Medicago truncatula: one gene and its partner. The protein of the gene in region 1 interacts with the protein of each later gene in a pairwise test. Links are inferred from orthologs where the notes say so. Each region holds a gene or a part of one and is shown on either strand. Other genes may lie near its edges.

Region 1 (6,543 bases):
TAAATACCAACAAATTAATCAAAGTCCATTAATTCCTTAATCATCAAGGTTTGTTATCTTTAAAATAAATTAGGGATTTTGCCTCAACAATAACTTTAATCAAAATCAAAATTATTTAATCAAAATTTCATGAAAACTAATGTTCGTAATTTATACGTATTAGTACAATAAAAAACGAACAGATGAGCACAGAGTGTCCGTCTTAAAGTCAGGTAAATATAAAGGAGGGGAAATGATAGAAAATAAGTACAATGTCTCCTAAAAGAAAAATATGAGTACATTTTATTTCGGATATCGTCAACAAAAAAAAAAGCCTTGGCTCAATGCTTTCAAAAAGAAATATTTTTTTTTGTTCTAATGACTCCAAGTTCTTTTCTTTAATTTGTCAAAAACAAATTCTTTTTTTATATACAAATTTTATTTTACTTCATCCAAGTAATGCTAGTTTAGGAGAAGTTACAATAATTTTCTTGAATGAATTAAACCAATATTAAGATTTCAATTTTTTTCTTATATTTCATTTTCAAGGGAGCTTGTCCTAAACCTAATACCTTCTAGAAGATGTTTATAAATTTGAAATGTAATATGTGTGTGTGTGTGTGTGTGTGTGTGTGTGTGTTTAGCACATCTTAATATTTAGGAAACTCACTGATAAATATACATTAATGATAGAAACCAAAAAGTTCACAAAAAAAATAAAAATAGAAACCAGAATTAGATCATGGCTTAAAAGTTCCATGCAAGTTGATCCATATAGTCTAGATCATGAGATATAAACTCAGAGTTAAGTACACTCTCCAACAACCCAAAATCAAAGTTAGAATTCTCAAAACAACCATTCATTTCAATATCTTCTTTCTCATTAACTTCTTTTTCATCCATTCCCTTCTCACAAATCTTCTCCTTTTCTTGCTCCACATGAGCTTGTGTTCCTTCTTCTAACATTGAACCTCTACAATCATCAACTCTTGAAACCCATATGCTATTCTCATTGCAGGAAGTAGAACAAATGTTTGATATGTTCTCAGTTAATATTCGAGGCAGTTCATGCTCGGGAACACTGAGTTGATTTGAAATTACATTGAAAGATGCTTGATATTGGTTAGGGGAAACACTTGTAGGAGTTTGAAGAATATTATTTTGTAGAGGTTTAGGTAGTGAAGGAAAGGTTTGATTTGTTGTTTCAATGAGATAATTAGTATTTGGTGGCATTTGTGAACTAAGAATGAAAATGGAATTGGAACTTTTATAATTTGAGTTGTTTCTCTTAGGATGAGAAGAAGAAAGTAAATTGTGAGTTTGTGGATCTAAGCCTTGAGAAATAAGCTTCTTTTTAATGCAAGAGTTCCAAAAATTCTTCACTTCATTATCAGTTCTACCAGGAAGGTGCTTTGCTATTTGGGCCCATCTGCAGCAGACAAATAATGCATGCATTCATGAATTTACAAGCACTCATATTATACTATTACAAATATTTTCCTCTCTCATCTTTTTGTACTTGTAACTATTATTAGGATAATATTTTATTTGATCTCTCATAATTTTCTCTGTGACCCAAAGTCTATGACAAAAATAATACCTAAATTGGTCCTTGATATTTTCATACAAACACAAATTAGTCGCTCTATTTTAATGAATTAATAGAAGAATTTGTTCCCTATAGAAAAATATCAAGGACTAATTTTAGAAATAATTTTTGTCTAAGACTGAATCGGGTCCCACCCAAATTTTGGGAAATCAAATTGGTTGTTCAGTTTTATTATTACACTTTACCTGTTTCCAAGAATTCTATGTATGTCAATTATGATCTGTTCTTCTTCAGCAGTGAAGGAGCCTCTTTTTAGATCTGGTCTCAAATAGTTTGTCCATCTTAATCTGCAACTCTTTCCACATCTTTGCAGGCCTGTATATAGCAAACCACACTAGCATCATATTTTGTTTGCTATACACACTAAGAAAACTAAAAGAAAAATGCCTATAAATTAATTTGAGGTTTGAAATCACAATTGCATATGATTCTTGATATTTCAAAGAATTACAGTCAAATGCAGCCTCAGTCATAACCACAAGCTGTTTGCATAAACAATAAAAATCATGACATCTCGGCCGACACATACGCAACACACAATTGTGATGCACAACTGTAATTATGGCCGCAATATAAAGCATTTTGAGGTTTCTGCAACTACAATATCAACCACATTTTTTTTTTTTGAAAAGGAGTCCTGGAGAAACAAAGAGTCAAAGTATGTTACACAAAAAAATCACTGCAAACGCAGCAATAGAAGAAAAACTTAGGAAACTGCATTTAAACACATCAAAGGATTCAATCTTCAAGTGTGGTAATCAAAATTAAACAAAACGTAACACGATTTTAACCACCAATACGTCTAACTCTTACCTTTACGAGTAAAGATGTGAGAAGATCAACCGCATTAAAAGTAGTTGTCCCGAGACAAATCATGGTTTCAACACACACATACTTATACTTATAAAAGTCTTCAAACACACTTTAAAACAAGCACAATAATAATTCACAAGTATAGAAGAAAGAAATGTATACCTGCAAATTTTGGAACAGAACTCCAGCTTTTATGTCCATGAGTAGTAATATATGTAATAAGCTTATCATCTTCTTCAGGAGACCATAATCCTCTTTTGATCTTCTGCTTGCTGCAACAATGATGGCCCATTTCTCCAAATAGCCTTATGAGAGAATTTAGAATATATGTTTTTTTGAGCACATCATTTAAATAGACACCTTAGAAATTGTAATGACAAGAAAGTCTATGGGTCCCACCTCCAAAATCTAGTGTCACACTCTACATATGTATTGGTGGGACCAGATTAAAAGACTAATTGACAAGTGCAAGAATCCTCTGATGAATGAATGAAATGATGAGCTTAATTTACTCTCACTATCAAATTCGTTTAGGAATTTAATCAAACATGAAAGGAGAAAAAAGAGTTGTCTTATTTTTTGACAAAAAAAGGTTTGTCTTGGAAAAGTGTTCAATGCATAATTTAGAAAATCTATGTTCATTCTTATAATCAATCAATGTAGTGTAACTTAATTGGGTTTTGACTCTTTCAAGGGACGTTGTCCCCTTTTAAGTTTTCTACTATTTGTTTTCCAGAGTATAGTCCATGGTGAAATTATTACTATGAGTCATTAAGCTTTTGCAACATTTCTCTTCGTAAAGTATAATGCCAACTAAGTTGAACATAAAATAAAGTATATAAGTTAAACTCTATTATTTTTTAACATAAGCAAATTTTTGTGATAAAGTCAGATATTAATTATTGAAGAGTAAATCATGTTTTACAATTACATAATTATTTTTTGATAAAATAAAAACAATAGAATGAATTTTATGGTTGGTGAGAAACATTTTATATTTTTATTTTCATATATTTTTCGTTTTAGATTTTAAAAAATGACACACTGTTTTACTTGATTTTTTATTTCCTATTTGCTTTCTGTTATATAGACTTGTGAAAAGTACTTTTGTTTACCATGTTTTCTTTATAGATCTTTTGAAATAAAAAAAGCGTGGCAATTTTATAATTTAAAGTAAAATATATATATATATATATATATATATATATATATATATATATATATATATATATATTATTTAACAAAACATGTTATATTATTTTTTTTGAAGGCATATTCTTATTTATTTGTCTTCTATACAAATAGTGAAAACAGAAAAATTAAAATGCGATGATAATATGTTGATTTTCTGTTGGTAAAAAAACATTTGTTAGTTTTCTAATTAAAAAGTAATAAAAAAAAGTATGTTATATCAAGCAAACATTTAACTACTTCTGCCTTTTTTTTTTTCCTTTTGCCCGGCTACTTGTCAATTGGTGTATGTAAAATTTTCGACCATCCTATAATTGGTCAAAAATGACATGCACATTGAAGAAACATAATCAATTTCATTAAAAAAAGGAGAAAGAAAGAAGGTCCTATTGGTTATCAATGCAAATCACGTTTGAGAAATGAGCTGGCCTTAAAACTTCATGTTCACTCATAATTTGGTGTCTTTATCTCAAAGGTCTAATTAATTTGGAGTGTCTTTGTGTCCATATTGAATTTCACTGTCTTGAAATTCACTATCATCTTTTGTTCCTAGGCAAAATCTAATAAAATCCACTACCATTGATTATACTCCAACACTACACAAGATTTACAGAAGTCTTCAAAATGAATTTACAATCATAAATCTTTAGTCACCATAACGGACACAATTGTACTTCAATAACAGGGGAAACACATATATGTATGTATATACTAAGACTTGCACGGTTAGACGTTGAAAATTCATGGTGTCCTTGACTCCTAGTATGTCCATTTTAGTAGGTTTATCAATTCTTCAAGAAAGTCTCTATGATTTCTAAGAATCGTCATACGGCCGCCTGTCAAATAAAAATAAATAAATTAGTATCACAAATGTTATATATATATATATGCTTTTGCTAGAAGACACCCTTTAGAGGTGTCTTTTAGCAAGCAACACCTCAAGGTGTGATTATCCACTTTTTAGTTATAACTTGCTAAAAGACACCTTCATAAAATGTGTCTTCTAGCAATATATATATATATATATATATATATATATATATATATATATATATATGCTTTGTGTTGAGACCATAGACTACTCGGTCTTGGTTAATGGAACATATGTAGGTCCTATTATGCCAGGACGTGGCCTTCGTCAGAGGGATCCCCTTTCACCCTATCTCTTCATTATTTGTGTTGAAGCTCTTTCTTCCTTAATTTGTAAGGTTGAGCGTCGAGATCAGAGGTACTATGATATGCACAAAGGCACTAAATATTCCTCACCTCTTTTTGCCGATGATTGTTTTCTTTTCTTTAAAGCTTGTGAAAAAGAAGCAATTGCTATGAAAAACATTTTGACTATTTATGAAGTGGCTTCGGGGCAAGCTATTAATTTACAAAAAATCATAATTGTTTAGTAGCCGTTATACTCCAGATGATCTCAAGAACCTCATTGTCACTACTCTTGGTTTCATCAAGTTTTAGGTGCCAATAAATATCTTGGGTTGCCCTCTATGATTGTGAGAAGTAAACCTGCAACTTTTAAGTTTATAAAGGATCACATATGGAGTAAAATAAATTCTTGAAGTACTAGGACGTGTCTCTCACAAGATGGAACTGAGATTCTTATTAAATCATTTTGCAGGCTATTCCTTCCTATGTGATGAGTGTTTTTCTCATTCTGGGTTCACTCACTAATGAATTTAAGAAAATGTCAAATTACTGGTGGGGTCATAATTCAGCAAATTCTCGCTTGCACTAGATATCTTAGGAAAGACTTTCCACTCCTAAGGTGTTTGGTGGAATGTGTTTTAAGAGTTTTAAGGCTTTTAATATGGCTATGGTTGGCAAGCAGGTTTGCAAGTTTGTTTCTAAATCAGAGTGTCTAATCACCCGTTTACTGAAAGCTAAATATTTTTCTCGAGGTGATTATTTTAGGACTGGTATAGGCCATAATCCTAGCTATGTTTGGTGTAGTATCTAGAGTGTGAAAGATATAATTCATCCATATCTTCAATGGAGCATAAAAAAAGGAGATCACATACCAGTCTGGGACCATCATTGCCTTAGTAACACAATGTGCATTTTGCCAACAACTCCTCAACAGTTGGAATGGCCATATATCACTATTGCAGACTTGATGGTTACACATCAAAATCAATGGAATATGGAGCTAATTAATGGCTTTTTTTACAACAACACAGCCAGAAGTATTTCTAATACTCCATTGTTGGCTTTGGAGCTTCATGATGTGCCTACTTGGGAACTTGAGAAGGACGGTGTTTATACAGATAGGAGTGTGTATAAGGGCATTATGAATCATGATGTGTTAGCTCTACAACATCGTGTGTCTGAGAATTGGAATTGTGTTTGGAAGCTCAAGCTGCCACCGAAGGTTAAAAATTTCTTGTGGAGTGCTTATCAAAATTGTTTGTCTGCGAGAGTTCTGTTGCAATCAAAAGTTTTTAAGTGTCCTGATTAGTGCGTGGTTTGTGAAGATAGAAATCATTTGTTTTTCATGTACAGTAAAAGTGTGCTTTGTTGGCAGCGCACAAGATTATGGAGTATTTTGATGGGTGTCTTCGATCCTACTACAAGTTTTGCAACAAATGTGTTTGTTATTTTACAACACCTAGATCCGAAGCAAAAACAAGTTTTTTGTTTGACCCTATGAAGTATCTGGAAGCATAGTAATAACAAGGTTTGGAACAACATCACTGAATCATCTTAAACTATTTGTGGTCGATCATGGTATTTTTCTACAAGCTGGATGAATGCCCAAACTTTTCAAAATCACACTTCTATGCACTCCACTAATCTTACTCATCTTGGAGATATGCAATGGCGAAAACCAAGTCCCGGTGGTCACAATGTAATTTAAATGCTTCCTTTTCCCATACTTTGAATCTGGTTGGCCTTGGCATGTGTATTCAAGATGATGAAGGTTGTTTTGTGGTGTAAACTGAATG
Region 2 (7,058 bases), about 12 Mb from region 1:
CTTCTTTAAATGGTTATGTGATTCGCATAACTTCTTTACGGAACTATATCCACATACCATTTAAAAACTATTTTGACAGCGTTGTGTAAGTCGTTATACAACGATGAACACAAAGTAGAGAGAATAACAGAAGGATGACCAACTAAATCAATGATCCAATGAACAACATACTAGTTTGGTGGAGTATGGCTTTACCAATTACCAACTGGCACCCTCTGCATCCCTCGTCTGATAGAAATCACTTGGTCGAACAATGTTGACCTCCTCAAACTCATTATCATCTGGAAGCAAAAGGAAAACATCTTTTCATTATGTTGTTTCTGAAAAAGATATGGCAGTACACTAACGGTGCATGTACATCAAAAACGATCCTCTAGAGGAAATGATGTTGTCAAAATGAAAGATATAAACAAGTAAATGCAGGTATGTAAGTGCTTGTAAATATCAGTTCCTAAAAGTTAAAGATATCAATATAACAGCCATCTAGAAGACCTTCATGAATTTCTCCAATTATCATTTTTTCAATGAATAAGTTATCACTTAAAAGTATTTAAGACGTTTTTAATTCCATGAAGAACATCGGTCCAATCCATCACCTAACAACTGCAGCTGAACAAAACATGTCATGTGTGCTTTTATAACAATAGACATCGTGTATATTGTCAAAAACAAATTTGTTTTAAAAGTTAACTTTTGGATTGAAAAGATTTGTTCAATAAATTTGTTTTATCTTGGCAACTTGGGTTTCCGTAACCTCACAGTAATGCCATACAATCTAAAGGCTAAAAATATTTAAGAATAAAGATAAACATGCTCAGATGATACAAAAGTGAACGAGTAAGCACTTTTCAGATGATACAAAAATGAACAAGGAAGCACTTTTTTTGTTCAAGTGAATAAACAGGGCTAGTTACCAATATCCCCCAATGTGAATAAACTACGTGTATTTGCCAAAACAAGTTAGAGCGTGTTTTATATCCCTAATATAAATTCATAAATTTCTAAGGCACCCCAAGTTTACCTTTCCTCAAGGTCAGTGCAACAACAGCATCTGTATCAATCTGAAATGTAAAAAAAACGGATATCTTTAGCATCTATAGCATGTATGTCATATGAGAAGCAATCAGAATTATTTCAGGCTAGTTAGAAACTAAGAATCAATGGAAAAAAACACAGATAGAATCAAAGCTGGATTTTTGCTAAATTCTAACATTTTAAAAAAGAAATATACACATAGTAAATGACATGAAAAGTTACGTAGTAGCGTACCTTTTGATCGGCCAGAGTCTTAGAGTCATCTAATACTTCCCCTGTACCAGGTAGAATCAACCGTTGGTCCTTAGCAGGTTTGTCAACAAGCTCTTGTAACTTCTCCTTTATGTCAAGAATTTTATCAGATGCCTTGCACCGGATGAAATATGTTGTCTTGTCACGCTTAATGCGAATGTACATATCCTGTCAAGCAATGATAGTTACGATTAAAGACCATCCCAAATTTTACAGGATGCATAACAGATACATAAAACTAAATTAGCTGCAAGGAAGAATTTCAATAGAAAATAAGGCTACAAACTCCATCTATATTATCGATAAAATTAGCATTCACATCTCATAGATTATTGACCACAGCCTCTTCAAAAAATAAAAATAGAACACCTTTCACTCACTCGCCACTGAAGCAGAACACTCATTATCTTTTGATTCTTTAAGGTTTTGGGAAAAGGTATTCTTCTGAATATTGAGCACAATGTAATGTTGTTCATCACATACGTTCATCCCATATTGCAATAAAGTTAATAAAGTTACCATTGTTCTTCAACCTTTCTTCCAACTAGACTATTTCAAAAGCATAAAGAATGCACTAGACACAACTTTTGCATACATTCATTAAACAAGTCTAAAACCAAGTTAAAAAGATTGGGACTTCAGCAATCTACCAAACCAAGGTTGTTGATCGCATGAAATAGTGATTCGTTCAAATTTTGCTATGCCTATAGCGCTATAGAACCTTATTTATAGCATCAGTATAATCCTCCTTTTGACAACAAACACTTTGTACTAAATTGCTTATCGCATAACATAATTGTTTCTTCAAATTCTGCTACGCTAGTAAATATTAATCTAACCCCTAATAACTAACATTTGTCATTCAAAAAATAAAAAATAAAAATTTAACTTTCAAATTTGTTCCGGTCTGGGCCAAGACCCAAACCTGGGGTAAGTCTGGACTTCCATCCTCATAGTTCCAGAAGCACCATGATATGGACACGTCCCTTGACCACACTGGAACAATGACCCCTTGGAACCATCTTCTAGGCCGTACGAGCCGGATCAAACAATATCTTCCTATGAAGCACAGACACTCTTCGGATAAGGCGTGTCCTCGTGTCAGACACGTGTTGTGTCCGACACCGACACATATAATTACACTGAATTATGTGATTTTCTAAAAAAATTAGTTGTGTCGGCGTGTCAGTGTCCATGTCGTGTCTGTGCCCGTATCCGTGCTTCATATCATCTCATGTTTTGCTGACAGCTGTCCCTCAAGGACAGAGGACAGCTGAACAGGTAAAGATTCAAGGACCAAAACCCTAAAACCTACACTATAAATACTAACCCAGGGGCATTGGTCGAGGTATGCGCGCACGGTGCGCACATATCACCTCACCATTCAAGAAAAGATTGTAATTCAACAACATCACACAGAGTTCTTAGTCCAGCATGATCAAAATTGAAACCATATTTTGCCTCAAAATAAAAATTGAAACCATATTTCATTGATAAATTGCGTGATCCTTTGAAAGTAAACCTAATTAACTAATACTGAGAGATAATGATAAACAAAATTAGTTTAATATGAATTGAATTTAAATAGTACGCATAAATGAAAACAAGGATTGAAGAGAGTGATAGAAAGAACACATACCATTTGTTATACCAACCAAATTCAAAGAGTTGTGCAATTTGCGTAATTGATTAATCAAAACCGAATTTCAATTCCAAAGAGAGGTAGGAACTCAAGTGCTGTTCTGTTCGGTGTGTGATTTCAAAGCACTGCGTTTCTCGCTCACAAAAGTACTATTGTTTTTATTTTTTTTATATATACAAACATATATGAGATTTGATATGATAATTAGATACATCAAAATTAGTGTTTTATAAACTTTAAAAAATAAATTTATTTTGATGTGTTTTTTTTTTTTTACAAAATATTTTGATGTATCTTATTAACCTATCAAATGAGGTGTGTGTTCACATATCCTTTCCCACCATGGGAAAGTTGGATTCAATGATTAGATTAAGTGAAGAATATATTCTTAACATGTTCTCTCAACATTAGATTTTTCTTCACACTATCTTCCAACAATTTAAAAATTCTGAAAATTAATTTTCAGAAATTAAAAAAAATATAAAAAAATTCAGATAATTTTTTGTTAAATTCTTCAATTCATTTATTGAATGTTAGAATTTTTTTTTTTGATTTTTTTTTGATTTCAATAAAAATAAAATTTTGGAAACTAAGATAAGTTTTTATTTTTCTAAAAAGAATATATTTTTTAATTTCATAATAAAATAAGATATTCTGAAAAATAAAATAAAAATATTTTGAAATTAAAGTTTTTTATTTTTCTAAGAAAATAAAATTCTCGAAAATAAGGTTTTTGAAATAAAATTCTGGAATTTTTTTTTTCAAAAAAAAATTCTAACATTCAAGAAATGAATTACATAATTTTAAAAAAAAATTATCTGAATTTTTTTCGATTTTTTTAATTTCTGAAAATTAATTTTCAGAATTTTTAAATTGTTGGAAGATAGTGTGAAGAAAAATTTAGTGTTGAGAGAGCATGTTAAGAATATGTTCTTCACTTAATCTAATCATTGAATCCAACTTTTCCATGGTGGGAAAGGATTAACCTTTCCCATGTGAAATGCCACCATCAAATGATTATTGATTAATATCAAATCATGTAGATGTGATATATGTTATAATATCTTTCAGTTTAATCTTCAATTTTTCCATACCTATAATATACACCTCCATGTTGAAGGGGCATTTTAGTAAGTTCACCTCACCACCTCTCTCTCTCACTCTCTCTCCCATTTTAAGATACACGTACCATTATTTGCTTGTTTGTGTATTTGATTTGGGATTAATGGATTTCTAGCTTAGAAGGGTATTTTAGTCATTTTAAGACTAAGGCATTTTGGTCATTTTGCGAGTGAGAGTAAATTAGTAAATTTGAGGATAGTTATTTTTACTAAGGAAAAAAAAAATGGTGTAGGCAGTCCATGATAAAATTAATTCTCCTCTTTAATCTAATGGTTGAAAAAAAAATTCCTATAGTGGAAAACAACTCTCCTTTTCCATACTAAATCCCACCATTTTTTTTATTCTTCATGGTCTATTATTAATAACAAAATGGATTTTTCCAATGTATAAAATAAAAATTTCAATGGCTTTTGTTGCTATAACCTTTCTGATGGGATAAAACCGCAAGTGTACGGTTCTACCGAAGTAGTAAAAATAACCACAACGAAAAAGGGGAAAACGGATTCAACGAAGACGACAAACACGAACACGAAACCAACATACCTGAAACGAATCGATTGTGTTAGATTTCAGTTTGGATGAGTTTGATTTGAATGGATGATGAAAAGGAACAAATGAAGATGGAACAATTCAGAAGAAAAGGGGGAAATGAGAAACCCTAGAATTTTCCCCCTAATTCTTCAATTATATATATTTTCAATTAATAAAAATTATTTGTTTTAATTTTTATTAAGTAAATATATTTTTTGCTTTTTAAAAATTGATTTTAAATGATTAAAATGAAATCAGTTTACACATGGCTGCCACATGAGCAAAATTGAACAGTCAGCAGGTGACACATATGCAAAAATCAGACACATAGACAAGAAAGTGGGGCCAAGGACCTTTTTAAAAAACAAAAAATTTTGCAGGGATTGATTTCGTTTTTTTTTTTTACCAGGGACTAAAACCCAAATTCGCTATATTTGCAGGAATCAAAAACCATATTTTAGCCTATTTTTTAACACACGTTTTCGTTTTCTTGTTTGAGAGGGGATTAGGAACTAGCGATACTCATAGATGAATGGAAGAAGGGGAAATTGTCTACTATTTAATTGGGTTGGTTCTTTTAACTTATTACTAATGTCATGGTATTAAATTTAAAAAAGAAGGTGAATAGACGAAGGAATAGGAAGAATGATGAAGGGAGGATGTTTTAGATGTGACCAAACTTAAAAAGGACTTATACGTGACTAAAGTAATTTAAACGATTAATATGTTATAAACCTCAAATTTAAAGAACTTATGTGTGATCAATATAATTTAAAAGACTTTACAAACCACAAACTTAAAGGACTTATGATATAATTTAACCTATTAGTTAACTCAAAAGGCCTTATGAAGCTAGCATTAAAGGAAGTACCAGCCAACCAAGGGTTCAGCCAAAAGAGAGTTTTGTCATTTAAAAAAACTCATTAACACAGTAAGATTAATCAAAACATTCTTATTTATTGGACTCTCTTATTTTACGTGTCTCTATCATATCGAAACCACTAAATAGACCTTAATTCAGCTGAATCATTTATTTTATTTATCTTTTGAATTTGAGATATATTTTAAACATTTAAAAATTTCAACTGACTCCTTAATATATATTTTTCAATATAGTTGATCGACCCATTTGTATTTTATAATATAATCCTTTAATATTTTACCAAAAGGTGTACCAATTTATCTCTTTTCTAACATAATTTAAAAATAACAACTCATAAATTAAAAAAATTAAAGGAAAAATTCAAAACTTTTTTTACGACAAGTTAATAAAAGCATCACTAATAGGGAGTCCTTTACTTAACAAGGACCTCAACATATTAAGGACCCTCATTGGAGGAAAAAGAAAAAATAGGTATCTATTAGTTATCGGCAACTATACATTGACTCTCTCTCCTCAACAATTAACGGGTCCCACAATCAAAAAATGAAAAAAAAAATCTGTATAAGTTGGTCACACCTTTCAAATTCATGTTATTTTAGCTATCTTTAATTTCTTTTTATTTTTTTTAAATGCACACATAAATGGTACAATACATATGCATATAGTGAGACCTATTTAAAAACTCTTAATTGGAGTCCCAATTAGTGTAATATCATTAGAGTCATTCAATCATCAATAAGTATTTATTTATTAAAAATTATAAATAAATTATGTGTACATATATAGTTCATTTAAGGAGTGCTTATTTATTCGTTTAGGACCTTTGTGATGCTCTAAACTATATTAGTAGTTGGAGCTTGTGCTCAAAATCTCTAGGGTCCGAGTTTCAACCAGTTTTTTTTTTTTTTTTTTGAGGGAAGTTTCAACCTTGTAAACAACTTAAATTTGAAACTTAAATAAAAATCTACAAGACCAATTTAAATTCAAAAAATAGAGTAAAAGTAAGAAATGTAATTTAACCAATTTTATTTATTTTTCCATTAGGAAAGAATTTTATGGAATTCCCCACACGTCATTCTATACTAACGCTTTCACGTAAATATATTGGATTATTTCTAAAAGAGAAAAATCATAATTTTTAATCAAAAACCTAATCTATTTGTTTTTTAGAAAAGTCTGGGTAATAGATTTAATCACTCATTTTTAACACACGTATTCGTTTTCTTGTTTGAAATGAAATTTGCACAAGTCTTTATTTTTTGGATAATTGATAAAAATGATTTTTTTTTGGATATAGTGGACAAAAGTGACTTGGAGATCACATTTTAGCAAGAAATCATTCAATCAAAATCCCTCTATATAAAATCAAGCATGCACTCATCGTCTTTGCCAACAGAAAGTGATACTAAAACCTTGTTGGCTTTGCACCATTTGAAAGGTACAAAGTGCTATTCCCTCTTCCATTCGATGCATGTTCCTCAACTTTTTTTTAAATCGTTCCATAACTCTGCATGGTTTTTTTAATGTTGCACTCATAACTTTTCTGTTTTTATCTTTGTTCGCAGCTCCATTGGATCGAAATCTAATCACCGA

What was found.
Region 2: the proteins of transcription factor MYB61 (region 1) and polyubiquitin 9 interact in a two-hybrid assay, tested with the Arabidopsis thaliana proteins (2 studies listed by BioGRID). The link is inferred for Medicago truncatula from reciprocal best matches to the Arabidopsis thaliana genes MYB67 and AT5G57860.

What each region holds. Positions count from the first base shown.
Region 1 is NC_053043.1:32,722,116-32,728,658, forward strand, and holds transcription factor MYB61, read right to left. Parts: upstream 2,721-6,543; 5' UTR 2,694-2,720; coding exon 2,564-2,693; intron 1,904-2,563; coding exon 1,774-1,903; intron 1,409-1,773; coding exon 727-1,408; 3' UTR 636-726; downstream 1-635.
Region 2 is NC_053043.1:20,249,979-20,257,036, forward strand, and holds the start of polyubiquitin 9, read right to left. Parts: upstream 3,095-7,058; 5' UTR 2,930-3,094; coding exon 2,927-2,929; intron 1,456-2,926; coding exon 1,270-1,455; intron 1,062-1,269; coding exon 1,022-1,061; intron 282-1,021; coding exon 199-281; 3' UTR 1-198.